Arabidopsis thaliana: one gene and its partners. The protein of the gene in region 1 interacts with the protein of each later gene in a pairwise test. Each region holds a gene or a part of one and is shown in the gene's direction. Other genes may lie near its edges. The genes, in order: MBD7, bZIP5, NAC097 and AT1G51200.

What was found.
Region 2: the proteins of MBD7 (region 1) and bZIP5 interact in a two-hybrid assay, tested with the Arabidopsis thaliana proteins (one large-scale study listed by BioGRID).
Region 3: the proteins of MBD7 (region 1) and NAC097 interact in a two-hybrid assay, tested with the Arabidopsis thaliana proteins (one large-scale study listed by BioGRID).
Region 4: the proteins of MBD7 (region 1) and AT1G51200 interact in a two-hybrid assay, tested with the Arabidopsis thaliana proteins (one large-scale study listed by BioGRID).

What each region holds. Positions count from the first base shown.
Region 1 is NC_003076.8:24,092,367-24,101,172, reverse strand, and holds MBD7 (methyl-CPG-binding domain 7), read left to right. Parts: upstream 1-4,640; 5' UTR 4,641-4,750; coding exon 4,751-4,903; intron 4,904-5,183; coding exon 5,184-5,336; intron 5,337-5,421; coding exon 5,422-5,520; intron 5,521-5,703; coding exon 5,704-5,901; intron 5,902-5,990; coding exon 5,991-6,113; intron 6,114-6,226; coding exon 6,227-6,421; 3' UTR 6,422-6,814; downstream 6,815-8,806. Other genes in the region: SBT5.4 (Subtilase family protein), read left to right, coding at 786-905, 998-1,107, 1,745-1,842, 1,932-2,096, 2,181-2,277, 2,363-2,900, 2,992-3,086, 3,165-4,278; AT5G59790 (UPSTREAM OF FLC protein (DUF966)), read right to left, coding at 8,369-8,483, 8,751-8,806. UniProt on the Arabidopsis thaliana protein: Transcriptional regulator that binds CpG islands in promoters where the DNA is methylated at position 5 of cytosine within CpG dinucleotides.
Region 2 is NC_003074.8:18,452,261-18,460,027, reverse strand, and holds bZIP5 (basic leucine-zipper 5), read left to right. Parts: upstream 1-3,902; 5' UTR 3,903-3,988; coding exon 3,989-4,459; 3' UTR 4,460-4,797; downstream 4,798-7,767.
Region 3 is NC_003076.8:20,675,726-20,683,596, forward strand, and holds NAC097 (NAC domain containing protein 97), read left to right. Parts: upstream 1-3,496; 5' UTR 3,497-3,499; coding exon 3,500-3,686; intron 3,687-3,712; exon of another isoform or gene 3,713-3,748; coding exon of another isoform or gene 3,749-3,788; coding exon 3,789-4,060; intron 4,061-4,158; coding exon 4,159-4,281; 3' UTR 4,282-4,549; downstream 4,550-7,871. Other genes in the region: TIM8 (translocase inner membrane subunit 8), read right to left, coding at 150-335, 733-780; AT5G50830 (nuclear polyadenylated RNA-binding protein), read left to right, coding at 7,727-7,871.
Region 4 is NC_003070.9:18,980,826-18,990,032, forward strand, and holds AT1G51200 (A20/AN1-like zinc finger family protein), read left to right. Parts: upstream 1-3,455; 5' UTR 3,456-3,729; exon of another isoform or gene 3,730-3,898; 5' UTR 3,899-3,931; intron 3,932-4,862; 5' UTR 4,863-4,864; coding exon 4,865-5,386; 3' UTR 5,387-5,809; downstream 5,810-9,207. Other genes in the region: AT1G51210 (UDP-Glycosyltransferase superfamily protein), read left to right, coding at 6,984-8,285; WIP5 (WIP domain protein 5), read right to left, coding at 9,100-9,207. UniProt on the Arabidopsis thaliana protein: May be involved in environmental stress response.

The sequences.
Region 1 (8,806 bases):
TTTAGCGGGTCACATGTAATAGCCTAATAGGTTCAACCCACCTCTTGTTCATAGGGGTTAAAATGTAGAAAGATAGCTAAGTTAGTTACGTTTTATGTTGTTTATACTAAGATTAAATCATCAAATTATATTCTTTACGAGCCTAAAAGGTTCAACACACCTCCGTTCGTAGGGTTAAAAATGTAGATAAATTACACATTAGTTTACTTCATGCAAACTAATTTTAAGTGAGTTAAGAATATACTAACTTCTAATTAAGTAATTGAAAATTTAAATCCTATAAGATATTTTTCAATAAAAAATTTAGTTTTCACTTATGATTACATGCTTTAAACATTTTAAAATAAAACATAAGTGTAAGTTTGCAATACCACATAAAGAGATAATAAACATCTGATCATGAAAGTTTACATTTGGCACAATCTGTCAGTTACTAACTTTACAAACCATATTTAATAGAATAAAATATCTATATTCAAAAACTTACAACTACAACCAATTAATATAAACAAAATTCTACAGCTGCAGTCAAACAAATCACCCACAAAGTCAAAATTTTAGTTTAATTCCAAATAATAGGGAGATAAATATGGAAAGAAGATTATGAAGATCCTCTTACCTTTTTTTTCGAATTAGATAACAGTTGAAGGAAGAGATAGAGTTCTGGCTGAAATCACTCAACAAACTTTAAAAGTAATTAAGTTGAGACTGAGACTGAGCGTGATTCGATCTATTTAGCAAATATAGCGAGAGAGGGAGATTTATGGAGAACTAGTATTTTGTATATGAGTATGACGAGAAGATATTCGAGTACTCAATACTCAAACAAAATGAGCCTCCAAAGTTTATCATCTCTTCTTCTCCTCGTCACTCTCTTTTTCTCTCCTGCTTTTGCTCTTAAAAAGGTCCTCTCTCTCTTTTTTCTTATGTAACTCACTTTCTATATACATTGCTCGTAAGATCGATATGCATTAATTTGTTTCCTACTGTGTTACAGTCCTACATAGTGTACTTGGGATCTCACGCCCATCTTCCTCAAATCTCTTCTGCCCATCTCGATGGTGTTGCTCACTCACATCGCACTTTTCTCGCCTCTTTCGTTGGAAGGTACCATTACTCCTATTTATGCCAAACCAATGTTTTAAAGATTTGATCAAATAGCAAACCGGGAAGTATTTCTAATCACCGGATCAATATCTAATATGACATATTAGGTTAATGACATTGAATATTTTGCGGAAGTATTTTGAATTGCTGGATCATCTAATATGACATATTAGGTTAATAACATTGAATTTTTTGCGGAAATATTTCAAATCGCTGGATCTCTAATATGACATTGATGTTTTTTGTAAGAAAATCTTTGTTAAATGTATTTGAACAAAAAAGTAATCTGTGTTTAGTAAAACACAACTTGAACCAAACTCAATTAGAGGTAAGTAAAAAGAAAAATTAGAATAATCATTTTTAATGTTGAATTTCAAACCGAAACAAAAAAATTAGGATTTCATTTGGTACGTACGAGGCTGTTCGTGGAAATTTTGCGGGACATTGTTTTTTTCCCGGGTTTAAGCGAGGGACTAAAATCTAGGTTTAAAAAGTATTATTAGTTTCACCCAAATTGAGTTTAGTGCAATGCCCCGGTTACTTACTATTGGACTGCCGGTTTACTAGTCCGACCGGCCGGTTTAGTCCGAGTTTTCTTATACACACACCAAGAAACTAACTGCCTTCTCTATTGCAGCCATGAGAATGCAAAAGAAGCCATCTTTTACTCATACAAGAGACATATCAATGGCTTCGCCGCAATTCTTGACGAAAATGAAGCTGCAGAAATCGCCAGTGAGATCATCAAACCTCATATTCTGCTTTTGATGCTTCTCAATCCTTTTAGTTTAACCTAACAAATTTTTTAAAATAATTGTATGCAGAGCATCCTGATGTAGTCTCTGTATTCCCCAACAAAGGAAGAAAACTTCATACCACTCATTCATGGAATTTCATGCTCCTTGCGAAAAATGGTGTTGTTCACAAGTCCTCTCTTTGGAATAAAGCAGGATACGGAGAGGATACAATCATCGCTAACTTAGACACAGGTAAATCTCAAAACAAGGGTATGCTTTGGTCATCATAATTGCTTTCATAGTTATGAATGATATAAAATATGTATGTTGATGAAGGTGTGTGGCCTGAGTCAAAAAGCTTCAGCGATGAAGGGTATGGAGCTGTTCCAGCTAGGTGGAAAGGTAGATGCCACAAGGATGTTCCTTGCAACAGGTTCTCATCTTAATTTAGTTGACTTCTTTCTGCAAATATAGAAATATACAGAGAATGTGATTATTGATTCGTTACATGTAACCAGGAAGCTCATCGGTGCTAGATACTTCAACAAAGGTTACTTAGCTTACACAGGCCTTCCTTCTAACGCCTCCTATGAAACCTGTCGTGACCACGATGGTCACGGTAGCCACACTCTTTCCACCGCGGCTGGTAACTTTGTTCCCGGAGCCAATGTGTTTGGTATCGGGAATGGAACAGCCAGTGGTGGTTCTCCTAAAGCTAGAGTCGCGGCTTACAAGGTGTGCTGGCCCCCTGTGGATGGCGCGGAGTGCTTTGATGCTGATATTTTGGCAGCGATTGAGGCTGCCATCGAAGACGGCGTGGATGTTCTCTCGGCTTCAGTGGGAGGAGATGCTGGAGATTACATGAGCGATGGTATAGCCATTGGATCCTTCCACGCCGTCAAAAACGGGGTGACGGTTGTGTGCTCTGCTGGAAATTCAGGTCCTAAGTCTGGCACTGTCTCAAACGTTGCACCATGGGTTATTACAGTCGGTGCTAGCTCCATGGATCGGGAGTTTCAAGCTTTTGTTGAGCTCAAAAACGGCCAAAGCTTCAAGGTTTGATACTTTGACCTCGTCTTCTTTTTTTTTTCTTTCACTTTTGGTTCCTTTCTTTCTTGTGCTACAAGTAATTAATTTTGAAAAGCAGGGAACAAGCCTCTCAAAGCCTTTGCCTGAAGAAAAGATGTATAGCCTCATCAGTGCTGCAGATGCTAATGTAGCCAATGGAAATGTGACAGATGCGTAAGTAAACGCTTGATATCTATTTTTTGGAATGTGTATAATTAAGTAAGTACTAATTAACTAGTGATGGTTACATAGATTGCTATGCAAGAAAGGTAGCCTAGACCCGAAGAAGGTGAAAGGGAAGATCTTGGTGTGTCTGAGAGGAGACAACGCACGTGTGGACAAGGGAATGCAAGCGGCTGCTGCTGGAGCTGCGGGAATGGTTCTATGCAACGACAAGGCGAGTGGAAACGAAATCATCTCAGACGCTCATGTTCTTCCTGCTTCACAAATTGACTACAAAGATGGTGAAACTTTGTTTTCTTACCTAAGTTCCACAAAAGATCCCAAAGGTTACATCAAAGCACCTACCGCTACGCTGAACACAAAGCCTGCTCCTTTCATGGCCTCTTTCTCTTCCAGAGGACCAAACACCATCACACCAGGGATCCTCAAGCCCGACATCACTGCACCCGGTGTCAACATCATAGCCGCCTTCACGGAAGCCACGGGCCCTACAGACTTAGACTCTGACAATCGAAGAACTCCTTTCAACACCGAATCAGGAACTTCCATGTCCTGTCCTCACATCTCCGGTGTCGTTGGTCTTTTGAAAACACTTCACCCTCATTGGAGTCCTGCAGCTATCCGCTCAGCCATCATGACAACTTCAAGAACCAGAAACAACAGACGTAAGCCCATGGTTGATGAATCCTTCAAGAAAGCAAATCCCTTCAGCTACGGTTCAGGCCATGTCCAACCCAATAAAGCCGCCCATCCTGGTCTTGTCTATGATCTCACCACAGGAGACTACTTGGACTTCCTCTGCGCCGTTGGCTACAACAACACCGTGGTTCAACTCTTTGCCGAGGACCCACAGTACACGTGTCGCCAAGGAGCCAATCTTCTCGACTTCAACTACCCTTCAATCACTGTCCCAAACCTCACGGGCTCTATCACCGTCACCCGAAAACTCAAAAACGTTGGACCACCTGCTACCTACAACGCTCGTTTCCGAGAGCCACTTGGAGTTCGCGTCTCCGTGGAGCCAAAACAGCTCACGTTCAACAAAACTGGTGAAGTGAAGATATTTCAGATGACTCTTCGTCCCTTGCCAGTGACGCCTTCAGGCTACGTTTTTGGAGAGCTGACGTGGACTGATTCACATCATTACGTTAGGAGTCCCATCGTCGTCCAACTTTCAAGCTAGCCTCATTCTTCATTCTACTTCATCGTTCTCACTTTTCTTCTATGAATCATTTTATATGTTTGGATAATATTTTAATGTTCAAAAAAAAAATAAAAAAAATTGAATTAAAACACATTCTTTCTTAAAACAGTTTAATTTTATTTTGATGTTAACAAATAACTATCGGCATCATATAATTCATTACCTAAAATAAAATGTATAGCTAGTAAACCAAAAACATTGATTATTTTTATTATCTTTGTGATTAGCATATTTGATTTGCATGTGATTATTAACTTTATTTTTCATTAATCATCTTCTAATTACAGAATTTGTATTAAGGTAAAAATTTGCCAAGTGGACATATGGTGCTTTTTGCGTGTCGTTACGTGAAAGCAGTGACAGAGAAATAAGAAGTGTGTGTGGCTTGGACGACCAAACTAAAAACCACACTCTCGTCTCGGGCTTTTGGGTTAGACCCGGCAACGAAGCGATGCAGACGAGATCCTCTTCCTCTCCTTCGGCTAACCACCGCCGCGAAACCCAGTTGCAGATCGCGGATCCCACCTCGTTTTGCGGCAAGATTATGCCTGGTTGGACCGTCGTGAATCGGCCGCGATCTAGCAACAACGGTGTTGTTGATACGGTAAATATGAGCTACATCAAGCAAATGTGAAACAAAATTTGAGCTTTTTCTCAGAATTTGAACAATTAGAGCTAATTTATGTCTTTTGTGCAATGGATATGTATGACCAAAGTGTAATGCTTGGATCAGATTAGTGATTGTGTTGCCACAGAGCTCTTGATTGTTGCTTGAGAGGTCTATGAGTCGTTTCTTTGGGTATATGCTTGAGTTGAAGATAGATCTTGTGGTTCTCTTCTGAAAAGTCTCATCTTTACTTGTTTTTGTTTTGTTTTGTGGGCAGTACTTTATCGAGCCAGGGACTGGTAGACAGTTTTCATCACTAGAAGCTATTCACAGACACTTGGCTGGAGAAGTAAATGACAGACGCTTGACTCGAGCAGGATCCTTTTTCCAGGACAAGACAAGGGTTTATGAAGGATCAAGAACCAAACAGGTCCTTTGTTCTGATTTGAAATTACAGAAGCATATGGTTCTTCTTGGATCAAATACTTAAAATCAGTGTGTTTATGCTTTTGCAGGATCACTGCGGAGTTGAATATGCCTCCAAAGGTTTCCGATTGCCTAGAGGATGGTCCGTTGAGGAGGTTCCGAGGAAAAACTCTCATTATATTGATAAGGTACTAATGTAGAGACTTGCTATAGCTATTTTAGACCCTATGCATAAGTTACTGAGTCACATAACTAACAACTGAGGTCGGTTAAATGTGGGATGTGAGAAGAGCAGAATGTGAAAAGGATACGTTGAATTGGTGGTTTTAGGATTGAATCTCTGGCTAAACCGTTAGTATTGTTCTTTGCAGTATTATGTTGAGCGAAAAACAGGAAAGCGCTTCCGTTCTCTTGTTTCCGTTGAGAGATACTTAAGAGAATCCCGGAACTCTATAGAGCAGCAGCTTAGGGTTTTACAGAATCGCCGTGGCCATTCCAAAGATTTCAGGTTACCTGATGGATGGATCGTTGAGGAGAAACCGCGAAGAAGTTCCAGTCATATAGACAGGGTACATATCTGATACTTAGGTAGTTTGGTTATATTTGGTTTGTGTCATATAGTCCAAACGTTCAATACCGTTAGTACTGTTGTTTGCAGTCATATATTGAGCCAGGAACAGGGAATAAATTCCGTTCCATGGCAGCCGTTGAGAGATACTTGATATCAGTCGGGAACATTACACTTGACTCGGTTTCTATGGTGCATTCGGAGCGGCTTCCTGTAAGTTTTCTAAGCTTAAAGATAGATGAAGTTTGATTTTAAGCTTTACATCATTTAGAGGTAAAGAAGATGAACCATTTCTATACAAGGTTGTAACGGTTTGACTGTGGCAGCTTCTGATGAACCGGAATGGTATCAGATTTCAGAGCGAAGTTATTGACCCAAACCCACCGAAGAAAGTAAAGTGGGTTCTTACCGGTTCCGGCGGAAACATGTTCACTGCGAATGTACGCGGATCGAATGTCTCTAGCTTGGTTAAACATACATGGTCCGAGGCATTTGTTTCACTGATCGAAGACCGCTCTTAACCGAACTAGGTTTGTCAATTTAGTTTACGGTTAACAAGAGCTAATTCCAGTCGGTAGTCTGTTCAAGTTCATACTTCGGTCTAGTTTATAACTGACCCAAATAACCGGCTTTTCCAAAATTTTCAATTTCATATTCGGTGTGAACCGGATTTTGGTTATTCGGGCAGGTATGTTAGTGCTCATATTAAGTTTGGGGACTTAAAATTCGAAGTTGTCTGTAGTAAGGTGTAAATAATGGTTCAAAATTCCAAGCTTGATGTGAAATGGTTGTCTAAGAATGATTTTGTGTGCTTCCTCTCTAATTTTTGTATTAACAACTTCTCCTCGTTAAACATACTCGCCAAATACTTAGTATGAATCTAACTATAAATGAAAATCAACATTTTGTGTACGCCCCAAGTGGTTCTCACGAGTATAATATAGAAATTTACAAGATTATTTCGATTATGAGAGTCCATCGTTATTACTAACGGTTAAAGCTAGTAGCTCACCTTGGTTTCTTGGATTGAGACTTGAGAGGGTTTATATGACAATTATATCGTATTCCATGTGAGATATAATTACCTCTCTTCACCGGTTTTTGCTGTGAAACTGTAGAAAAAATAATGTTAACTGTAGTAAAACTGTGAAGCACAACGTGTACACGCAATCACAGATCTTTTTACCAAAATATGTATGAATTCACTTCAATGAAGTCAGTCACCTACTGCAAGATCTTATGTATATTTATATAATTATCTCTATATCTATCCTTGAATGTACCGCAATAGACTAGATATATGTCAAATATAATACAGTGTACTTTATTTTGAATTTGGTCTTAACCTTTTTCTTATTTTTGTCAACCTTTACTTTTAACTCAAAAGCAAATATCAATAAGTGAATTATCATATGCTTTGTATGTGTAATTCTATATTTAATTCCTTTTTTGATGTGGAACTTTGACAAAATAAACCAAATTCTTAAAAGTCTGGTTTCCATACTAATGAATGCAGATTGTGGGAATTTATAATGTATTTCTCCTTTTGCATAGAGTTTAATGATGTACAATGAAAAAGATTTTGAATAACAGTGCTATTTAAGACTTCTAGAAATGGGTAAGTGGAAACTTCTAAGATTTCAAAGTCAAAAGACAACATTGTTGTTGGTTATTGAAATTTCTTTTTGGTACGATTATTTTTAAAATATTGTGTACGTGCTGCAAATTGATATTGGAGTTGACGCCACAAAAGCCAAATAGGCCAGAATTAAAGGGCATAGAGACTTTTCCCTGAATAATTTGTAGCCTCAAGGTACCACCCCAACATTGACTCTAAGCTATTTACACTTTCAAGGAAAACTATCACTTTACCACATTTCAATGGAGTATTCAATAGTATATAAATAAATGTTTTCGATGTATTTCTGGTAATTTCTGTAAACTAATCACGCCAAGTCAATTTGTTGGAGGGCGTTTTCCCTACAAATCTATATATTTTTGTTGTTCTTTATGTATTTGGTCCAAAATCGTAAATATCTACACCTTAATTTCTATGGTTACTAGTAGTACTACTACTATGCATGTTGGAAAAAGAAGCTTCCTATGATCATTTGATATTTTACTCTAAACTGAAAGGAGCTATCAATGAAACCCCAAAAGTATGAAAAATGGTCAAAACTAACTGAAATTTGTAATTTAGGTTCCCAATCACTACGATAAAGTAATATTGGGGTTATAAAAGAAAACCAGATTGAAATTAACCTCAAAAGACACCTAGGCTCAGACTACAACATTATATATTATATATTCACCCATCATGTTAACTCTTAATTTTTTTAGCATGCAAAGGAATTGTTATAGTTTACCTACACAATTCACAATGCTTTACAAACTCATCATTCCCTATTCTACTTTTCTCTTCTACTTAAACCCAAAATAAGCTTGTTAGACTCATCGTGCCGTTTTTGTTACTGCTGCCCACCATTGTTCCTTTTAGCCACCGGCTTTGGTTTTCTCGGAATGCACTTAGCTCGAACCGCTTCTTCCTCATCCTTCTCCGTCGTTGGTCCCATTCTTGAACACCTAATAAAATTTATCAAATATCAATTATTATAACCTTTCATTTCATTAAAAAAAACTATTAGAACTTTTAAAAATTGAGAAGACGTTTGAAAGACACCCCAAAATGTACTTCTACAAACTTTACCATTTTCAGCTCTTTCAATCAACAGTTCAACACACCATAACCAATAATTGCCAATGTACGGGTAAATTCATAAAAGTTAAAATAGAACTACGTGCCGTTTCATCTAAAGAGAAATCGAACTGCTTGATGTTTTATTTTTTTACCTGTCAGCATTGTAAGAAGAAGATCTTTTCAAAGCAGGAACAAGCTCCTTCTTGGT
Region 2 (7,767 bases), on another chromosome or scaffold:
TAAATCTAGGAAATAGAAGATTGACATATATCTTAGTCCCAATAGTCACCAATTTAGAAGAGTACAAGTTAGGGCAAGATAATATAATAAGTGAGCAATTCAATCATCCACATCAAACTCTATTCGAGCCACAAGTCCTGCTCATCTAAATTCCTCCTCGAACCCTAAGTAGCTTCCTCCATGGAAGAGGAAGAAGAAGAACGTGACGGTTTAGAAGAAGAAGACTTCTTTCATGGAAGAGTACATCCTATTCGTTCATGATCAACACAAGATATCCCAGAAAACTCTCATCCTTGTTTTGTTTCCTAGAGTCTGAAGGATTACAAATTTAAAGCGGAAGGCAAAGGTTCTTCTTCTGAATATAAAACCGCAGCATTATCAACAAAATCAGTGTGATGAGATCTGAAAAATACGTAAACAACAACATCGCCGCAGAGAGAAGCTGTACGCAGATTTTCCATGTCAACAATATGTCAACCTCAAGACTAGTATCCTACATACAAACCTGAAAAACAAATTCTTTGGTGATACTAATAAAAAAGTCAGCTAAATGAAATCATATGGACTACATTGTTAAACTGAACATATACATAACAACGAAGATTCAAAGATTTCACGACGGTTGAAATGTTATCTAGTTTGTCCAATTCTAAACTTTTTTTTAATAACCAAATTTTTCTTTTTTACAAAATATAAACTTATATATCCTTATTAACTTAATATCATCGGTAGAAGTCTTTTTAGTCCAATTATTAACCAAAAATTCATGAATACTTTTACATTTAAGTTTGGAGTTAGAGTCTCAGAAAACACAGTTTCTTACAAATTAATGGTATAAAGTTTATCGAAGATTTGCGAGAGAACATAATCGCATTTTCTGTAGGTAGTTGATTATCATCGTAATAAGATTAGATTAATAATCTCTAGTGATATAATAAGATTAAAAAAAGAAAAAAGCTTAAGATCATCTAAATTGGCCCTCACACCTCTGCTGTCTCTGACTTACAATAACATACTTCTTTTTTAGAAGTATAATGGGCCATGCGTTTTAGCCCCTCAGCACTGATATATATGGATCATTTAAGACCCATCTCATATCCATTATTTTAAGAGAATTTATAATAAATGATTATAGATTTGAAAAGAATGTACAAACTAACCTTGAGTCAGAGTACCTTGTCGGAAATATGTTGGAGAACACATGTAATTACGTAAATATCCTTTGTAATATATTTTTTTTGAAATACATGCGATAACATAATATCCTTTTTTTATCTTGTTATTTTTTCTTATTATATAGTATTTATAAAAAGCACATGGTATTTTTTGGAAAAACATTCTATTCAGTTTAATATCTCTTTTTATCATGATATTTTGTAGTAATACACGTTTTTTATTAAGATCACACGTGATTTCTTTAAAAATATATTCTTATTTTTTTGTAATACACGGTTTTTATTAAAATCACATATAATTTTTTCTTTTAAAGATTATGTTCATGTAAAAAAAATTCATAATAATGTTTTTTCTTAAAAATTCATGACGTTTTTTGAAATAGCATGTTTTTAAACTAAATATAACATGTGAAATTTTAATGTTACATGCTATTTTGAAAAATTACACAGATGTGTTTCGTTTACTGTTTATCTTACAACAAATGAAGGGTAACTTTGTTATTTCATTTCTTCCGACAAAGTGGGTCCATGGTTATTTTGTAAAAAAAAACTTTTTCTCTGCTAGTTTCTTAATTTGTATGTTTATTTGGTTATCTACTAATATTACCCTTATTTTAACACCATATCCAATACCGGGAGTGCCGGCTTCGTTAGTACATGCTTTATATTAAGAATTGTTTTATAGTATACCATAAAATTTATAACAATATATATATATTTAAAAAAAAATTGAGAAGTTAGTTGTAAACATTAATTTATACGGATTCGATTTAAAAATTCTTAAAGAAAACAAATTTTGCAACAAAAATCGAGTAAATTGCAAACAAAATCTACTATACAGGATTTACTGTAGTAAATATACTACAAACATATAGTAAATTTACAACTTATCTTTTTCTTTCAGCAAAATATATAGTAAATTTGTTTTCTTTTTGATTTTTGATATAAATTACAACAAAATTTACAAATTTTGGTCTATTTGTGTTTTTTTGTTTAGATGTATTATTGTAGTAGTAAAATAGAGAAGACATCATTTCTACAGGTTACAACTATAGTTTTTACTGACTAATTCGTTAAAAACACGAAACTAATACCTACATTTTTTTATTTCAGAAAAAATTATTATTGTTTTTTTCGTTTTCGTATGAGTATGTTGTGACTATTGGTCAGTTTTTTTAAGGAAAGTTGTTATTACTATTGGTTACAAATAACTTTAAATTAGTTTTTATTTGTTGAACAAAGTTAAAGTGGTCGTGCACATGAACATGATCTCCAACAAACTTGAAAACATTATAAAGCTGAAAGAATTTGATTATTAAGCCATGCTTTTTCTTGTTTTGTTGTATTCCTTAGGAACGGCTTCTTTAAAACAGCTTTGCTGTTAAGAAAACTGCCATGCGAATATTCCCTCCCCTCCCTCTAGTCTTTTTGGTTTGGTATAACTAATAATTAGCAAATAGTAATTATGAATCAAATTAGTTCCTCAGTAGCACTTACGATTTTTCTTTTATTATTAATATATAGACACTCAACCGAATTTGAATTCGGATGATAAGACAACAATATCTCTATGGAAATAAAGAAAATCTTAGGACTGTCAATTTTCTAAATACATACGACAACTTTTCGAAAGACTGTATTTGAAAACAAGACGTAATAACATCGATTAAATCATATCCCAATATAAATTCAAGGTGTAACTTTCCTAATTAGATAGATCCAAGTTCCTTTACTTTTGCCGGTTTTGTAACAATTTTATATCTTATACCTAGCTAGAATATAGTAATCCATCAGATTAATTTCAAATACAAAAGTATGCCGACCAATAAAAATAAAATTAAAATTAAAATACAGTGGTATGCATGCATATCACTATATATAACAGCAAACTAAGTATATCTCTTCTTCTTTTTAATGCTATAGGATGCTTTTTCATCTTTTTGGTCCATAACTTTATCTTCTGTCTCAGAACGTAGATTTCACTAACTATATTTGCAGTTACATATACCATAAAAGAAAGGAATCTTAACCAAAAAAAACTAAGATTCCTTCTTCAACTTTTGTAACGAGGTTTAGACTTGCACATGTTGCAAAAATAAAGAACACGATCAAAAAACAAAATCCCAAAACATACAATAATATTACATAAAATTATCTAATTGGATTATTACGATCGAAACTATCAACTTTTAGCAAAGAAGAAAGAAAATGTTGAATACACAAGCTAAGTCTCTACTTCCTATTTGAAAGTCTAGCTAAACAGTAAAAACACACTAACAAAAATGATTTCCTTTAAACATCGAAGATCACGTTCAACAATCATACGTTCATAGAAGATCTAAAGACCAATATTAAATTTGAGTCTTCGTACTATCCAATGTTCTTTAAGTTAAAACGTAAAAACTGAAAAGTGTTCTTACGAGGAAACGAGGATTGGCTCTCCATACTTGAAATATTAAACTTAAACTTCTGAGTTACATCTAATCCTACACCGACACGTGTCCAACAATTTCCTCTCCTGATGCGACTCATTTCCTCATCTTTTGGTCTTTCTCTTTTCATTCTTAGAAAAAGAAAATTTGAAAAAAAGATAAAAAGAAAAAGAAAAGTAAATCTAAAAAGTTATTAGGAAAAACCCCCATCAATATTCTACTAATGTCTGACCAAAATAGCCTCATGTGTGTATTCTCTCGTCCATAAATATGGACCTCCAACAATGCAATTCTTCCCTTTTCCCCTTCTAATCTCTCTCGCATCTCTACATTTTGAGATCATTTTAAATTGTCCTCTCTTTTATTTTCCGGTTAAGCACCATGATGTCTACTATTTCCCCGGTTTTCTCAACCGAACCGGGTCTATTAACCTCTGTCCTCCCAGCTTTTGAAACCAGTTTCACTCCATGGGACATTTCACACCTCTTCTCGGTCTTCGATTCATTAATCGATCCAAAACCGGTTTCGACCCATGACTATGGTTCAGTAAACCAGATCGGTTCAGACATGTCTCCGACCGACAATACCGACGAGCGGAAAAAGAAACGGAAATTATCGAACCGGGAATCGGCTAAGCGGTCAAGAGAGAAGAAACAAAAGCACTTGGAGGAGATGAGTATCCAGCTAAACCAACTCAAAATTCAGAACCAAGAATTGAAGAACCAGCTTCGGTACGTTTTATACCATTGTCAACGAACGAAGATGGAAAATGATCGTCTACTTATGGAGCACCGTATACTGCATGATAAGTTGTTGAACATCAGACAAGTTTTGATGTTTCGTCAAACCTAACGAAGCTCATCAAACTGTGCCACTTGGCCTTGTAATAACAGTACTGTTGTTACGGTCCAGCAAGATCCGTCGATCATGTTATCATAAGTTGAGGTTTCTGAAATTGTTTCGACGGTAAAATGGGAACAATTTGTAAAAACAATTATTGAAAAATGCATGGATATACGTTATCAAATTAGATTTCGTTTTTTATATATTAATAAATAAATAATTAATTAATTATATTGACGTGTTTAAAATTGTTAACGAAGAAATGGGTTACTGGCAGAATTTGTCGATAACCTTTATCTACTTGTTTCTTTTCACTATTCTTTTCGTTTAGCTTTGTTGAATATACCTTTATATCATTATATATTCAAGAAATAAGCACAAACGAAATAGATGACTACGATATCATAATTAAGTTCTAACAATAAAGGTCTCTAGCTCGTAGAATTTAGATGATCGAGGGTGATCATTTCTATAGTCGTAACTTACGATAGAGAATTTTATCAGCATAAGTTGAGAGGAATATATTACAAGTTAAACGAAAAAAAGAAGAATGTTATCAGCATAATTAGCTATATTCCAAGCATAAATTCTAAAACGTCACACACGAAACAGTGATTTAATTTTTGTAAGATTCCTATCCTACAACTTTCTAGTGATCAAATGTAAATTATTCCCCTGAAAAATGATTAAATGACGCGTGCAACGACAAAATAGATGGGTCTTGGTATCCTAATATATAAATTCGTGGTCTAAAATATAGAATATGAGAATATGGCCTGATTAAATACTATTTTGAATAAGGAGGTCAAATTCAATTATTCGTAAAGAGGTCGACTAATTTCTCGGCAGTCTTAATCACCCTGAAAACATTATCTTTGTTTCGGTCTTTCTTAATAGGTTCAATGCTTTTAATTATAATTAAGCTTTTGTATCCTAATTAATGGGCTAATGGATATATTTCGATTCGAAGTATATATAGTTTTTGAACATGATAATTTATGTATTTTTTGGTCTAAGGTAAGCACTTAAAGGAAAATAAAGAGGCTTAGTAATTGTAAGATAACATGAATTTATTTCCACTAGATGTTAAGTTTTATATACATGGTACGAATCACGAACTTAGCTATATATAGGCAGGGACAAAGTTAGGTTGATGATAATGATGGTTTGATGACCAAATAGGTGCATTAATCATGTACTAACTACACTTAATTAAATCCTAATTAGCTAAGATATATAGTATTAAACTCTTAATACACACACAAGGGCACGTATATATGTGTACATATATGTTCAGGAGCGGAAGTTTTAGGCCCTCTTAACCTTTCACGAGATATGGAGACATGATAATAACAATACCATTGTTATCAAATTAAACATATTATAAGTCTAAAGTGAAAAAACTATTATATTGTCTTAATTTATTATTTGTGTTAATGCATGTGAAGGGGGAAATTATTAGTGAGGATTATAAGAATAAAGATGCGGCCATTATTTGATTTAGATAAATAAAGATTACGGTGTAAATCATGACACGTATTCATACCCATTATTGTTGATTTTTCTACTTTTTGTTCTCAAATATCTGTCGTCCACGATTTGACCATGAATCGGCTCGACAGTAGACAGTAGCCAACTTTAAGTCATGAACAAAATTTTAAAATGCTTTTCCCTAACATTTGTAATACTTTTTCTGGCGTAAACTTTAAAGGTTGTGATATGATATTTAAGGTTTCGAATGCATTGAATTAATACGATGTAAAAGGGGCATAACAAATCGTGAACAAAACAGACAATGAAAATTTAAAGGAAAATAACCAAATGTGGTTCATATATATACACAACAACAACTTAACTACAAAGCTGAGTGTTGATGAATCTGTCTTTTTCTTTTTATTTCAAGTTTTTATTTTGTAATCCATTTGTGGTGGCCGGAAGGTTGAGATTTAGGGTTCTCCATGCACCATGCTAGATTTGTACCTCAAACTCTTTCATTTATTGTGAACAAGTAGATATATAATGGTGTCATACGTTAAGTCTATTTAAATAATATGCTAGATTACACTCATTCAAAGAGATCGATTAATCAAATTTTGGTATGAAATGATCCTTTTGGTAACAAAAACTAAAATCTTTTTTGCGATATTTTTGGCTGTCTCTATTTTTTCTTTCACTTTGGAGAAAGGAAAGAGATAAAAAGAGTAACTAAAAATCTGATTTTGATATTTAGACAACTTGAGATATTTTACTTATAGTTTGGAACCTTTTACATGATCTTATAATTTAACGACAGATGGAGAATAAAAAGAGAGAAAATTCAATAATTTGAAGACCTTTTTATGTTCATGATAAGATGCTTTACTAATTGATATATATTCATATTTTAAAATATTTATTAAGGTAAAAAAAATAAAAACAGAAGAGAGATGATATCTTAAATAATGAATAAAAAATTTGGAATCAAAATCAATCTTTGACAGAAGGAGCTTTGCAAGAAACTAGACTTTTAAGACTATTCTTCCTTTTAGACACAATCTTATCATCGGCAATGTTTATATCATTAGAACCCTGCTTTCTCATCGCAGTAAAAAAAGGGTCATCATCGTCAATTTTTTTGTATCGTTTGAACACTTTCTCAACGCAATAAGAAAAGGATCATCTTTTTCTTCTCGTCTCTTTCCCGTCTTTTTCCATTTCATTATACACGATGATTTAACTAACGAGGAAGATCTAGCCAACTGTTTTGATGATAACGGATATGGTGGTGGCAAAGGTAGCAATGATGGTACCACCATTTTATCATCAACATTTGTTGGCATAGCTAACTCTAATTCATCTCTATTAGATATTGATGATGACAAAAGCAATTTATTTTTGTGTGAGGACATGGTTTTGTTATGCGATTAGTGATCAAAATCGATTAGTGAAAATGAAGAGTTTGATAGACTAGACTTGCGAAATGCATGCAAACTATATATACGTGTCTATCAAACGGTTTTGTTACGTTTTGAGTGGAATTGAGACATAATAAAGGCATGAACATTATGAAAAAATAAGGAGGAGACATGCTTGTGATAGTTAATTGAAATAAATGCTAGTGCATGCATTGGTCTTTCTCATTCACATTCATTACATATCATACGTATGAATTTAATGATACATAATTTGTAGTATAAGTAACTAATTAGAAGATTCAAGATCGTCGCTTTCAAAGAGAACACATGATAGATTCCAAACACTAACTTTCTTACATTCTAGACGTGTGAATCCATCAAGAGCTACTACCCCCAAGCTTGTCATATATGTGACCGAGTTAG
Region 3 (7,871 bases), 3.4 Mb from region 1:
CACATAACCATAAAGAAACACCTAAAACACTTATCCGAGAATACTCTTGCAAGATCACTAGAGTAATAAAAGGGATTTCAACACTTGCCAAGAGAAACAAAAAAAGGATAAATTAAAATTCCAACAAGTATGATATCCTCCAATCAATTTTACTGCGAATTAAAGCGTTTCATGATGATCATACTCATATCCATGTAGCGTTGAGCACAATGAGTGAGGCAAGAACTCTCGCTTGAGCTGAACTTACTTCCCGGTGCGCTTGTGATGCATTTGTCCCAGCACACACTTGTCATCTTCGACACCATTTCGTTCACCATTGCTCTTTCTTTCTCTTGCTGCCACACAAACACACACCCACATTCTCTTACAATTCACCAAACATAAACCCAAGACAAAAAAAAATCATTACTTTGCATAAACCCTAATAAACCCAATTCTTGTAAACACATATTAGTACACTAAATCTCAATTCAACTTGATTCTAATCATACCAACTAAATCACACATGAAAAAAAAAATCAGATCTTTCAAGTTTAAAGCATCGAAATGTTAATTTGACCCGTCAACGAAGATTCAAATAAATGGTTTCTGTGAATCCAGACAGGACTTAAAACACTGCTTCTACTTATAATTTCGCTGTCCAAATGCTCAAGTTTCCATGTGAATCGACTTAAAAAGCTTTAAAATTGAAAGAACTAATTAGCATTCATCAAAAACAAATCGGAGACTTACGGCGAGGAATTGAAGCAATTCCGGGTTGTTTGCCATGCTAGGATCCATGTCTGGTGAGCTGAGAGCGTCTCTGCTTGAAGAAGAAGAAGGAGAAGAAAATTGTTCTCAGCGACTGAAAACCCTAAAAACTTTTCTCAAAAACCCCAAAAGGCTACAATAAAGTTCAAGAGACGCCGCTTACTTACTTATTGGGCCAAAACCCCCATTAAAAGCCCAACAGTTAAATAATCATATTGAGATCAAATATGTAAAAGTTTGATTTAAATATGGATCATGATCTGGGCCGAGTGTACGGATATATAGGGTGGGTAGACTCAGTGATTTTAAACCCGGACCCGACCGGTTTAATAGGGAACCAGCAGGCACATTTGGGTCTAAACTAGTCATAAAACCGGACTTTTTAAAACTCTGATGGAACCGGGAACTGGCGGTTCACCCAGCTATTTGTTGACTAGTTCATGTATTTTTTTGGTGGTGTATATCAAATATTCTTCTAAGAATTCATTTGCTCCAAGATAATCAAAATGTTACAATCTCCATTGTGATTAACTTTAAAGTTTAGAGGTCGTCGGTTCGAGTGACGCTTGGAACAAATTTCGGACCTAAGGGAATTACGGGCTTCGTCCCAAAACCTCCTGGTATTCAAAAAAAAAAAAAAAAAGGAAAGAAAAGTAACTTACTTGACTAACTTAGTATGCTTTGGTAAACCCATTCAATTAGAACTAGATTCAAAGACATTATTTTAAAACTATTTTCTTTTTGCATTGGAGAACCAATCAAAAAATTACGTTCAAGTGTATGTATGGTTAAAAAGAATAATTGAACATGAAGATGGTGCTTGTACCATATCAATATCAACCATCAATTGACAACACTAAGTTATAAAGAAATGAAACTTTTCATTTATGTATGTCGTTGCTTAAGAAATGTCGCTAAATCATCAAAATCTAAAGTAAAAAGAAGATTGAAAACAAACAAATAAAGGAAATGGAAAGCCAACATCTTCGAGGTGAAGAAAAGTACCAAATCCAAAATGCTGCGTGGGAGGAGTAAGACATATGATTCTAAATTGACAAATTTAAAGCTTTTTCTATATCCTTTATGAATATAAAACAAATAGAGCTTTGCCTACTTTCAACACATGAAAATTATATAGAGAAATTTTGGACTAGAATTAAAGCTAGATGTTAACAATTTAAAATATTTATCAAATATAAGCTAGTCATGTTGCATTCGAATTAAGATTCAGCAAAAGAAAGCTGATGAATACTCTCTTCCAAGTTCCAACCAATTAAACTAATCTCGATTCCTTAACAATGAAACAATCATCTTTAATCCATTTCATTTTCTTTTCTTAGTCTTTCGAAAGACAAATTATGTAACCTTTATTTCTAGTGTATAAAACATAACATTATACAAAGAGGACTAAACCTAAAATGCTATTTGTAAAAATCAAAGGCTGATGCTGGAAAGTTGAAGCAAAAAATTGGAACAACTTTGGTTTGGTGGGGGCTTTGGGAGCTTTATTGATCCAAGGAAAAAAAGGAAGGATAAAAGGCAAGTCACCAGTCCAAAGACACACATATATACAATAATTTATCTAAAATAATTGAAATTAAAGAAGTGCATGAGAGTAGAAAATTGAGTCAGACCAACATCTAATAACTTACTCGTTAAGTCAGCTTCTCAAATCTTTAAGTTGGGATCGACTTGGACTCTCTTTCAAATTCACTTTTGTTTTCTGAATATACTTTCTTATATTTTTCTTATTTCTTAATCATTGCTTATGCATATTTACTTAAATTTATTGTTTTAAAAATGTATTGTATCCCGACATTATTATTTCACTTGCCAAATGATAAAGACAAAGAAAATTTTGATTCCTCGATGATATAAGTTTTCCTTTTCCACGTATAAATTTATACCAAGAAATGATTTTACTACAAAATTATAGGTTGAACGTACGTCCAAAACTTTCGCTTATTTATGTACATTCATATCTATAATTCGTATATCATTCCGACATTACTATAAGAAAAAAAAAGGGTCGCATGGATATTTTTACATGGATGATATATACACTAGTCCCTAAACATGTGTAAGGTCCCTAACATAAAGGTTTGTTTTCTTTTTCGGTGTGAAAACATTTCAGATTTGGAATAAACACTGTGGTAATTTTTCGGGTTTAAATCCACTCTAAACACTTACGTGTATTTTTACCTGGGCTAACCGATCGGCTTATGAAAAATAAAATTTCAAATGCATGTTAAAATTAGTTCTGGGCCAATTGTTAGAAATGTGCTCGTTTTAGTTATTGATGTTGAATGTACTTATATGGTAATGAATCAGCGTGGATCTAGGCTTTTGGAACTTAAATCTTGTTTATTTCGTTTTGGTTGAAAAAATAAATAATTACCTTTGCCCAGGAAAACGAAAAAGGAACTAGATTATCTTTACCAAAAAAATAAAGATATTTTTGAATACTCGCTATATTCAAAACCTTAACAACGTTGACTGCATGGGTACATGCACCACAATTTGTTATGATGATCCTCGCATTTAAATAAACAAAAATGAAACCAATCTACGATCTCTGAATTTGCAGTTATCAATTTTTTTTTATCTATTTATCTCTTGAAATTAATAGTAGTACGTAAAAAGTATCTAAAGGAAAAGCAGAATCCGCTTTTGCCAAACTAAAGGTGACACACTCATAAGTATATATAAACAACCTAAACCAAACACAAAGGATACTCATAAGAAAGCAATGGACATTTCTGCGCAGAGATTTGCCATGAACGGAAGAAGCATGAGACTCCCTCCCGGGTTTCGGTTCGATCCCGATGATGAAGATCTTGTGTTCGAGTATCTCGCCAAGAAGGTCCTCCACCGTCCAATGGACTTCGATCTCCCTGAGCTCCGTTCTTGCAATGTTGATCCATGGGACTTGCTAGGTTTGCTACAAACTCTTCTCTCTAATAATTACTATACCATATCACGTCAAATGTATTGAAAAATGTGGTTTAGTGAATGTTGTACGTACACTTTTGTTGTAGGAGAGAAGAACAAGGAAGTGTATTACTTCGTGAAGAAGGAAGAGCGAGAGAGGAAGGGAAGAGAGACGTTATCCGGTTATTGGGAAGAGTGTGAAGAAGAGGAAGTAATGGAGGCTGGTGGTCGTGATTGTATTCATTTAGAAGGAAGGAGAAAGACATTTGCTTTCTTTATTGGAAAAAAACCTCGAGGGACAATAACTCCATGGATCATGTACGAGTTCCGACTTCTTTCCTCTAGAGCTACAAGGTGGTCATCGTCCCCTCTACCTCGGGTGAGTCACTCATTGGACTTTTATCTTTTTCTATAACATATATTTTTGTTGTAAGTAATAGTTTAGAGCTAACTATATCAATGTTTTGGGTTTTAAAGGGTGAGGTAGGAAAATGGAGGGCGGTGAAAGTCGTAGTGAAGGAAGAGAATGATGAAGAGATGGTGGAGGATGAGCACGAGTCTGACGAGTCTGATGGCGAGGAAGTTATTCAAAGCCGGTGACGACCGAGGTTGATGCCATAAATATATGTACTTGGTTTTGTGGTGAATCGTTTGAATTTAGTTACTATTGTTAGGATATTAGGGAACATCTAAATGAAATATATATGCATGATTTGTCTTATTGTCTTCCAAGCCCTTTGGAATGGAATGGAATGTAATTGAGGATGTGGTGAAAGATGCCACAAGTTGCTTTCACTCTCCCGTTTTATTTTGTTCTTGTCCAATTATATATATATATATATTATTAGTGGTCCGTTAGACCAATCCATCCAACATCACATGAGGAGGTCTTCCCACAATATAAATACAACTAGATTTTAATCCGCGATATACCGCGGGACGATTTATTTTTTAAAAGTAATATATATTAAAATTTGCAAATTTTATTTTTATAAAATATTTATATTTTACAGTTTATAATTATTATTAAGTAACGCTATACCACGAATCCATGAGACAATTTTTAAAAAACTGAAGTTGTAACCCCTATTAAAACAGCATATTAATAATATTTTAAAATTTTATAAATATTGATTCAAATACATCCACCATATAATCCAATTCCAAAATAAAACCTGTTGTATAATTTCTTTACCCGTCCCGTGATTTTTTTTTAAAAAAGTAATTTTTAAAATTTAAGAATTATTTTTATATATAAAAGTTTTGCAAATTATATCATTCTCTAATACATTTATATTTTATAGTTTAATTTTATATATAGTAACATTATACATACTACATAATATTTTCGGTTTTATATAATCTTTTCTAAATTAGGATGATTTGATATGTTTAATATTAGTGGTCTTAAAAAATAATAAATTAAATATTTAACCAGTATTGAAACGGTGGATTAATTATATTTTACTTTTTTATTAATGTTGATTCAAAAACCCGTCACTCCAAATCTGTCTTGCCAAAAAGCCATTTATTTTATTAATATTAATTTTATTAATGATATGACTCTGAATTATAATCTAAACATTTTAGCTAATAAATAGGAGTACACCATATTTATTTAATAGGGGAATGTACCATATGACCCGAATGCACTTTTACCCAAATCCACCAAAAAAGTCTTGCAAAAATACTATAGAGATAAGAAACGATAGTCGGTTTTGATAGGTAAAAGATTAGCAAATATATTAGTTAGCTTAAATTAGTTAAAGAATACAAATTGAAAAGGTATATTACACTTTATTCGAATATAGTATCAAAACTTATATAACACAGAGATTTGATAATTTTTTAATTGTTGAATACTTTTTTTTGTGCTAATTTTTATGTGATTAAGATTTAATTGATTATATATATAAAATATTAAATTGTTTTACGAACTTATTTGTTTATAATTTGGTAACAGATAGATATTTGAGTATTCAGTATATTTTGCTTCAGTTTAGGAAATCTTTGATGACCCGTCTTTAGATCCAATAAACCTTATAATCTAGATATTAACCTGCAGTATACCGCAGGTAGGCTTATATTTTAGTTAAACTAAAAACTTTTATTGTAAAGATGATTTAAAAATATATGATATTATTTTATTTGATTTTAAATGTATAGTAAACTGTGAGTTGTATATGTTTTGTTGATATTATGTATATTGTTTAGTGTTTATAATTAGACACTTGTAGTTTAATTGTTAATTTAAGAGTTTCACATGTAGTATACCATCTTGTATTAATATCGATCTAAACCCGTCAATTCTAGGATTTTCCAGCTTGTATTAAAAATTGAATCACATCATACACATAAAAAAATCTAATATGTTATTAATTATTATAGTATATAAGATTATAAATTTTCAATATAATATGTATGAAATTGAATATAAATATTTCAAATTATGACCCGTTACTCAGTAGAAAGTTTTCTTAAATCTATTTTTCACCCTTTATAATATTTTTTCATGTATTGAACAGTTTATATTTGTTTTTAAAAATTTAAATTATGGCATATGCGAAAAAACTCTAATTTTTTTTTTATAATGATGATATTATTTTTTCGCAAAAATAGAATCATATAAAGATGAGAAGTGAACTATAATAATTAATAAAAAATTAATATGATAATTTAGATATAAAATCTAATTTGTTGATTTTAATAGGTTACTTTTTTGGAAATTAATAATGTATTTTTTTAAATTTAATTAAATTAATTAAAATTTAAATATCAAATCTTATATGTTGATCTTGATTGGTTATTATTTTTGAAAATTAATAATGTATTTCGTTTTTTAATTAAATTTAATTAATTAAATTAGTATTTGACTTTTTAATCCTTAAAGAGATAAATTAATTTACTCTTTAAAATTTTATTTCTAATGATATACCTATGTAATTACTTAAAAAATTAATGTTATATTTAAAATGTACTTTCCAAATAATATAGTAGGATATGTAAAAGAAAGTATAATATTTTAATGTTTGGGTATCTTTATATTTAAGACACAATGTCTCAAATGTCTTTATAGAGACATTTTGGAGAGAGATGTCTCAAATTTAAAGACCCTTTTATATTTAATTATTCATATCTTATAATTATAATTTTTTTAATATAGCTAAAGACCCTCTCCTTTTATATGCAATGGAGATGCTCCTTCATCATTAGTATATTTTGTTTTGAATTCAAGATTTCTAAATATAGAATTTCCTAAAATAAATACATGGTAAACTCGTGGGGGTTATTGACTTGATTTGATACAAAAAATGAGAGGATATAGTTGTGATCGCATTTGATTAATTTAGGCTGATGAGCAATATGTATGCAATATGCATGGATGGTGTAGAAGCGAAGACAACTATCACCATACTTAAGATTAAAATCACCACAATTTTAATATAATTTAACAATATGATTTTATGCATAATTAATTGGACTTAATTATTACTAAGACATTATCAGTTTGCAACCATCCAATTTCATGTAGAACAAGAAGTCTTTAGATTAACCCTCACAAAAGACTTTCCGTTTTTCGGGGTTTTTTCTTGACTAAACAAATAATCTTGGAGACATTAATGATGTTATGAGTCATGTGACCAATACAGTTATTTAGACATCAAAGTTATCTGCAAATTCATTAGAGACGAACGGTAATAGTCACACATGACAATAAGAATGAAGATGTCACTTAGATAAAAATTAAACCAACTCATGTATTTGCCTAAATAAATCACTATTTACCAAATTTAGCAAACAAATCGTAACTAACCAATCAACATCACACAATCTCAACCCTTTAATAATCTCACATTCTCTCGCTTCTTCTTCTCGGATTCCTAAATATTATCATTCATTCATCATCCTCCCAACTCATTGGCTCTCTTCTCTCCTCTCCTTTGCCTATTTTCTAAAATCTTCTCCGGCCACCCACCGGCCACCTTATGATCTTTTTGGTGGCGGCGATTACACCATCAATTTGTTAGTTTATTTATATATTAATATGGGTTGCGGTGGCTCGAGGCTTGGAGGTGTGGCGACGACAAGGGCGGAAGAAGGCGGGGTTGTGCCACTTCCAGCGGGAATACGTCCCCTTCTCCGGCGAAGGTTAGAGGAGATGAAGAAACGGAGCCATGCAGGCGTCTTGA
Region 4 (9,207 bases), on another chromosome or scaffold:
CCATCTTGCTATATTTCATATCTATCCAAACCCGTCCGGCTATATTTTTCGTCTCATGATATTTTAATTTTTTATAAGTTTAAATATTAGTTGTGGAATTAGTTGTGATTGTGATTTTATGCCGAAAAAATTATGAACTTTTAATTCCATGGAAGATTCAAACCAAGATAATGAATGTTTTTAGGTGCACATATAATTGGATTTGTTCATCATACGGGATAGTAAATGTATTTTGGTTTGTTTCACAATGTTTGTTTTAATTTATTGCCAAAATTTAATACATATAATTCAAATAGTTCAAATTTTTGTTGTTTTAAGATTTAATGAATATTGTAGGTGAGATAAAAAGAAGATAATTTATTATGTTTTGCGTGACATATGGGATTGCCATATATTTTAAATCTTTTTGGTTTGTTACACAATTAATTGCCGTAAAAAATCAAACCATTAATTAAAAAAATCAAATAATTAAAATTTAGTGGCAGCCATTGTAAATAAGTCACAACTCCATGATTTATTTCACAAAATATATGCAAAAATGTATATGTAGATTTATGAATTTAAGTGAAAATTGTGCATAATTATAATGCTTACTATGTCTCTATACATAATCTTTAACTCTATTTAGTCAGTGTGCACATAATTTTTGCTTATTAGAAAGGTTTCTTTTGGAAGGACTACAACTCTCAAGTCCCTCAACAACCAATAATGGGGAAAGAAGCTTAATTCTTGGGTCACAAAGCATATGCCTTTTGGGAAGGAGTTTAAAAACATACTTATCTGAGTTTCTGGTCGTTACAAGAATGAAAAAATATGGGTAGCTCGAGATCTGTGATTATGCGTTTACTCACATAGAAATAACATTCATTTCACTGTTGCATTGATCTATAAAAAAAATGCTGGTAGAACAAAACGTTGTACGAAATTAGTAGTGTATAACTTCCTCCACTTCTCCAAACACCAAATCTTGGATCATTCTTAGAGATTTTAATCAAATCATCACTTTCAGAAGACTATTTCTCGGTGAGAAATGATTCTACCCCTTCAAGGTATGATTGTATAGCTTACATGCTTGTTAATCAACAAATGGATTTATTTTTTACTGACATTGATTTTTTCCATACTAAAATCGACAATCAAGGACTTAACCTGTTAAGAGAAAGCTTCTTAGATAACTATTCACATAACTGTATAATATTCTGTTTTTCAAAATTGCATGTAAAGTAAAACAAATAACATATATTGTATTCTTTGTTTCATATATAACTGACTAATTAAGGAGTTCAATTCACTTTGAAAAATGACAAAGAAATAAACTAGCATTTTAACTTGTTGAATAGCCAAACAAAATGCTTTTGGCTTATGATTTTAGAGAATAGACAGTGAAATACAAGTATTGCTCAAACCCAAAAGTATGTATTTTCTCTGATTTTTGTAGTGCTTACAATTAATGATAATGTTACAAGTACTAGACTTTACAAATCTAAGAGACACAAGGGAAGTTTTAGCATTTTTGATCGATTCAATTGAAGTACACGGATATGCAGGTACATATTATGTGTATAATGTAAGAATAGTCTTTGTTGTTGAGTTGCACACAAAAAAAAAAGTCTTGGTTGTTGACTTTCAGAAAGAAAGTAAAGTTAATAATTGATATTTTTTAAAGAGTTGATCATCCGTAGGAGAAATAATTAGTGGTAATTTAAAAATATCTCTTATTATTTACATTAGGAAACCATACTTTGATTATCCTTAGACATGTCTTTATAAAACTCGCATGTTAGATCAGCTTACAATTGTTTAGTATACAACTCTTCAGAACAAAGAGACTCTTGTATTGTGACATTTAAACAAAAATACTTGATTTTTGGAATGATTACCGTCTCAAAATAGTTAGATAATTTTTTTGCTAAAATGATTGCTAAGACTTTAAAATAAAATAAACATAAACTAGAGAAGTGAAACTGTAGTTTTATATAGTTTATAACTATATACAACCGTATATATTTCTCATAGATGTGATCCATGAGATTGTATATGCTCCATTGTAGATACTTGAACTAATAAGAACCATTCTTTTATTAATAATTTTGTTGTCTAACAATTGCTTAAATCTCTGTCAAATTTATAGCCTCTTATCTAGAAAAATGAGATCATAGATATTCATAGTAGGATGTGAGTGGCTCCAATATGTCTTTGAAGAAGTTGTTTAGTGGTAGGAGAAAAATTATTTCAAGACTCTGACTTCATTTCATGAATTATCTATTATTCATATAATACAATTGCTTATGAGTTATCTTGCATCCATTAAAATTTGCTAAACATAGCTAGATCTTCTTGTCGGATACTTCTTCGAGAAAGAATCTTGTTTAATTGGCAATTATCACCAAAATTATATAAGTGGTTGTTGATACACAATCCATTATCAATAACACTAATGATCACATAATCTGTAATTTTTCATTACATTACTCAAAAAAATTCTATTCAAATTTGTAGAAATCTCACAAAAATATAATTTAATAGCAATGTATGGATGATTTTAATTCTCAGTTTACATAAGGAATGAAATTATATATTATGAGTTACATATATATTGTATGCTATGTATCTCTCTAGCACAAAATTAGATTCATAACATATACTATCACCTATTAACATTAATTTATATGTCATACTACATAAATTAATATGCGAAATTATGGATGATGCACAAAACACATTAGTAAGAAAATAAAAATCCCTAAAAAAGTAAGAAGAATCTTTCTTTAATCAAACGAGTCCGAATTTAGGAGAAGTGAACGAATTATAAGGGTTGTCCTGTTGAAACGACTAGTATGAACAAGAGGCGGACCAAACGACATATAAAACGAGCTGACTAATATTGGACAAGCTCGATGGGTTTGAGGACGAGCTAATAGTGCACTCTCTCTATGTCAACATAAAGTGTAGATCTTGTGACAAGACTTGCTATTTTGTATTTATAAGAACCAAGATAGGACATATGTCAAAGTAAATTGGTGGATCTACCTTCCGACCTATTGACATGGTTTCGGCTTTTTATAGACGCTAACTCATCGATTAGGTTTTCTTCCAAACGAATTTTAAGTTGAAAATAGACCCAATTACCTTAATTATTATTGGACATTGTCCATTCCTTGAGTTTATTCCAATTAAAACCTGAATTGGAGGAAGCCCAATTCTTCCCTCAACAACTATGTTACCCATCTCCTCTTAATATATAAATTTTTAAAATATAAAAGATTATTATTAATTAAGAAGTTTACAAACACTTGTCAAACAATAACCATAATAAAACTGGAAAAAGAATATATTATATTCTAGATATTAACCAAAAAGCTTAATATCATTTTCAAACTATTGGTAATTAACTAATTGTTCTTGAAAAATGTAGTGTCTAATTCCGTTTCAAAAAAGCGAGTTAACATTTGGAAGCCTTAACTCTTTTTTTCAAAAAAGTAAAATGAATTGAAATTTGAAATGAGTAAAAAAATCAAAAGCAGAGCCAATAAGATACGTACACGTCATAGCCGACTCTAGCACAAACGGTGTGAAACGAAAATATAAACGTCGCTACAAAAAAAATCGTCGAGACAAACCAAAAAAAAGCCTAAAAAGCCGACCTTTTTTCTTTCTTTCTCTCCTCTACCTCTCAGCTTCTGCTGGATCTCTCCAGCAGACACGATCTTGTTCGGAGAGATTCGTAGGGTAAAGGGTTTCTCTTCTTCTCTATTTTGCTTTCACCTTTATAATCTTTTCTGGGTCTCGATTTTGTTTTCTAATTTCATTTCCATTTCGATTCGATTCCTCCTTTGTGTGGGAGGCCTTTGTTCGGTCAACTTATGTGTTCTGTTTTTGTCTCTTTTTTATTGATTAGGGACCGATCTATCAAGGCTTCAAGGGCAAACAGGTGAATTAGCTTTTGGGATTTGGTTTTATTTAGGGTTCATTTGTAAGCTGTTGATGTGAATTCTTTTTTATGGTTCTCGATTGTTTAATGATTTGATTGTTTGGTTATATTTGCATGTGGGTTTTGTGTGTGTTTGGAAATTTGAATGAATTGATGTGAAAAGTTGTAACTCTTGTTTTTGTTGATTTAAAAGGCTAAGTTTTGAAAATTTTCATTTCTGTGGAGAGAGGTAGTGTTGGATATGAGTGATATTAGCTATGTGGGTTTTGTATGCTTTTGAATTTTGAAATGAATTGCTATGAAAAGTTGTAACCTAAGAAAGGTAGTGTTAGATGGAAATTAGATTAGTATGTGAGTTTTGCATGTTTTAGAAGCTTGAAATGAATTGCTTTGAAAGTTTATAGCTTTACGCTGATATAAGAGGCTAATTTCTAAGTAGTGTTGGATAGAAATAAGATTAGCTGCTCTAATGTTTTTAAAATGATTCATTTATGATTCTAATTTGCCTAATGAATGTGGTACTAGGTGCTAGGTAACCTAGACACTTCTGTTTGGTTGGGTAGCTTATTGTTAGAAAACAGGTCAGCAAGATTTGTTTGTCTGTTTCAGGTTCTAGAGTTAGCAGAGAAATGGCTCTAGGCTTGCTTTTGTTCTCTTCTTTCTATTTAGTTAAAGATCCTGAATTATAGGAAGGTGCTTATAGGTAGTGTGGTTATAAACTATGAAGATCATGTGTAAGGTATCCAGATAAGTTATTTCATGAAAAGAATTGTTCATCTGCTTATTTTCATGTGTATGTTTTGCACTGATTTTCTAAGGCAACTGATGATACTGATTGGGTTTAAATGTACTCATCATCGTGAATCTTCTGCGAATTTTTGTTTTATTTTTCCATGTCACTGAGACTGAAGATGGCTGATTTTAAATGTAGAAATGGACCACGACAAGACAGGATGCCAAAGCCCACCTGAAGGTCCCAAGCTATGTACTAACAACTGCGGTTTCTTTGGAAGCGCTGCCACAATGAACATGTGTTCTAAGTGTCACAAGGATATGTTGTTCCAACAGGAGCAGGGCGCTAAGTTTGCATCTGCAGTGTCTGGAACATCGTCATCCAGCAACATCATAAAGGAAACCTTTACCGCTGCGTTGGTCGATATTGAAACCAAATCCGTTGAGCCGATGACTGTTTCTGTACAGCCATCCTCTGTCCAAGTCGTTGCAGAGGTAGTAGCACCAGAAGAAGCTGCGAAACCAAAGGGACCAAGCCGATGTACTACTTGCAATAAGCGGGTTGGCCTGACTGGATTCAAATGTCGCTGTGGGAGCCTCTTCTGCGGAACACACCGCTATGCAGACGTACATGACTGCTCCTTCAATTACCATGCTGCTGCGCAAGAGGCGATAGCTAAGGCAAACCCGGTTGTGAAAGCAGAGAAGCTTGACAAAATCTGAAAATCTAAGTAAACTTCTCTGGTTTCATCAGGTGGCCTGGTGTTTCCTTCTCCTGTCTGTGTCTGGTTCAAGTATTCTCATGTTAAAAAGGTTTTATATAAGGTCGAATGAAAGCGTGCTTGATCTTTAGCGTCTTCCATCTCTCTGTGGTGTGGAACTTTCTATTATCTGTGTTTGCAAGCAGAGAAACGTGCTCTTAAAAAAAATGCTTTGTGTGTTTATCTTTCTACTATTTTTGAGCACTGTGTTATTGTTTCCTGTTTGGTCTGTATCATATTGAGATTGTCTCTGTAGCTACATGAAGCTTATTTAAAAAGGCCTGTGTTTGTCCTTCAATCAGTGATTCCTTTCAATTTCTCTGGTTGGTGAGTTATGTAACTTTGCAAAGTCATGAGCTTACTATATATGTGTATATATGGGTCGATAAACACTGAAGAGCTCGCTTTTTCCTGTTCTGAGTACGAACGCCCATAACCATAGAAGAAGGAGATGATCGTAAGGAGACAAAAGCTCCAAAGGGTGTCGTCCTCACTTGCTTTACAACATGTCCTATGTGAAAAACCGACGTCGTATCAAGTTGCGTAAGCATCGTATCAACTTGCTCTAAACGGCATCGTAGGAGTTGCTTTAAACGTCACCATACTATATACTAGTTCCTGAGGACATCGTATAAAAATGTTTGGAACTGTTTGGTTCATTGCCTACACAACAAACGGCGTTTTATCTGATTTTACCGGTTTTTTGATGAGTCATCACTGATAGTGATAACTGATGCGCTTTTGCTTCACCGCAACTCCTTCTCAACCGCAACCATTTCACTAGAGACACATGTAACTATCTCAACCGCAAGATTTGGCAAACAATCAAGCGTACGTTCGTTTTCCTCATAAACCCCAGCACCGCATCTTCTACGTACTTATTCCGCTTTCAGTTTTGTTTGATTTCACCAAAATACCAAACAATATTTTTTTTTGTTTTGTTAAAGAACAACAAAAACAAAAATTAAAATAATAATAAATAATAACAAAATAATAGTAATAATTAACAATAAAATTTACTATTTTTTCTTTACTTTTGTTTGATCTCATCATCAAATATAAATACAAGAAATTTTATGATTTTCCATATATTTTTACTTTTTCTAATTGAAGTTTTTCTTCAAATTAATTAAAATATATAGAATATCTAAATAATATATTATTAAACTTACCAATTATTATTTCTTTTTTAATTAGAACAAAATGTCATTGTTAAATATAGATGAAAATCAACTCTCATGAATCATTATTTTGCATTTAATTTTTGTTTCTAGTTTTACGTAGATTTCTTTCTATTTAGTTTAGACTTTAGAGGATACAACTAACTTGATATTTTTTTCGCGTTTTGGATCCAAATTGAAACTATACACATGGCATACATAATCTCATCAATTTAAGTATATAACACACTTCAAAAAAAGATAAAAAAAATTAGACTCGTGTTTTTTTTTTGGTCAACAAAAAATCTAGACATATAAAATGCCAATGCACATATCATCGTACATTAACACACACATCATTCTATAATATCACCACCGAGCGTAAACAACAACCGAGAAATGAACAGAGCAATGCCGCAGCCGCGACCGGAAACTATACGTGGCAGTTTAAAACCTCACATCATGGTGTTTCCATATCCAGCACAAGGCCACTTGCTTCCTCTTCTCGACTTAACCCATCAACTCTGTCTTCGTGGCCTCACAGTCTCCATCATCGTCACTCCTAAAAACCTTCCTTACCTCTCTCCTCTTCTCTCCGCTCATCCATCCGCTGTTTCCGTCGTCACTTTACCTTTCCCTCACCATCCTTTAATCCCTTCCGGGGTTGAAAACGTTAAAGATCTAGGTGGTTACGGAAATCCCTTGATCATGGCTTCTCTTCGTCAGCTTCGAGAGCCTATCGTCAACTGGTTAAGTTCTCATCCAAATCCACCGGTCGCTCTCATTTCTGATTTCTTCCTTGGATGGACCAAAGATCTTGGTATTCCTCGCTTTGCTTTCTTCAGTTCTGGAGCATTCTTAGCTTCGATTCTCCATTTTGTCTCTGACAAGCCTCATCTCTTTGAATCAACTGAGCCTGTCTGTTTATCGGATCTTCCTCGCTCCCCTGTTTTCAAAACAGAGCATCTCCCGTCTTTAATCCCTCAGTCTCCATTATCGCAAGATCTTGAAAGTGTTAAAGACAGTACCATGAATTTTTCGAGTTATGGTTGTATTTTCAATACTTGTGAGTGTCTGGAAGAGGATTACATGGAGTATGTGAAGCAGAAAGTGAGTGAGAACCGCGTTTTCGGTGTTGGTCCGCTTTCTTCAGTCGGGTTAAGTAAGGAAGATTCCGTATCCAATGTAGACGCAAAGGCATTGTTGAGTTGGCTAGATGGATGTCCAGATGATTCAGTGCTCTACATCTGCTTCGGAAGTCAAAAGGTGTTAACCAAAGAGCAGTGTGATGATCTGGCTCTTGGTCTCGAGAAGAGTATGACCCGATTCGTATGGGTGGTTAAGAAAGACCCGATACCGGATGGGTTTGAGGATCGGGTCGCAGGTCGAGGAATGATTGTGAGAGGGTGGGCTCCTCAAGTGGCTATGTTGAGTCATGTGGCGGTTGGCGGGTTCTTAATCCATTGTGGATGGAACTCGGTGCTGGAAGCGATGGCTAGCGGAACAATGATCTTGGCATGGCCAATGGAAGCAGACCAGTTTGTAGATGCGAGGTTGGTAGTGGAGCATATGGGTGTGGCGGTTAGTGTATGTGAAGGGGGTAAGACTGTGCCTGACCCGTATGAGATGGGTCGGATTATCGCTGACACAATGGGTGAGAGTGGAGGCGAGGCGCGTGCTCGGGCTAAGGAGATGGGATAGAAGGCACGAGCTGCAACTGAAGTAGGAGGAAGCTCTAGTGTTGATTTAGAAAGACTTGTCAAAGAATTGAGCTCTCTAAAGATATGATTCTAAATGAATAAGCTTTTAAAAAGAGTTCTAAATGAACAAAATTGTGTTTTCATTGTCAAAGTATCAAGTATCTACATAGCTAGAGTCTCACTAAGAATTACAAAACTTTGAACCAGTATAAATTAACGAGGGAGCTAGTTAGATTTAAAACCCTCATGTTATCTAATAAGCAGATACAAAGCGAAAAATTGGGTTTCAGATACAACTTCATAAATCATTGGAACATTAAAACAGGGAGAGATACCAAACCCTATGGGTGCATTTTCAAAACCTAAATATCTACAACCCATGTTCAAAACGGCTTGGTCAACGAAAGTTGGTCATTTTTCAAAATGTCAAAGTAAAGTTTAGGATTTTTATGGCATTTTAAAAGTTTATGCTTTGTTCGTCCCAAATTTGAAAGTTCACGATTTTTTCGACATTTTTTCCAAAAATGAATTGAAAATTACATATTTAAATTAGGCTTTAATTTCTTTGCCATTTTGATTTAAGCTTGCACCACAAGTCTTTAATTTGTTCTATTACTTAAAAGTATCTCAAGCTAACGGTTGAAAATCTTTAGATGATAATTAACTTCTTAGTAATTAAAAAAAAAACAGCTCAAAACAAAATAAAACAAAGATCCGAAGAACAAAACTAAAGAACACGTGCATACAATCAACTAATGCATGAGAGGAAAAATAAACAAAACCCCTAATTAACACTCATTGTTGTTGCTATCATCTTATTGCTCGATATCAGAAGCAGCATCATAGTAGTCCTCATGATCTCCTCCAAAACTATCAATCCCACAAGGAACATGACCATTTCCAAAGGCCTTGACATGGTCCTT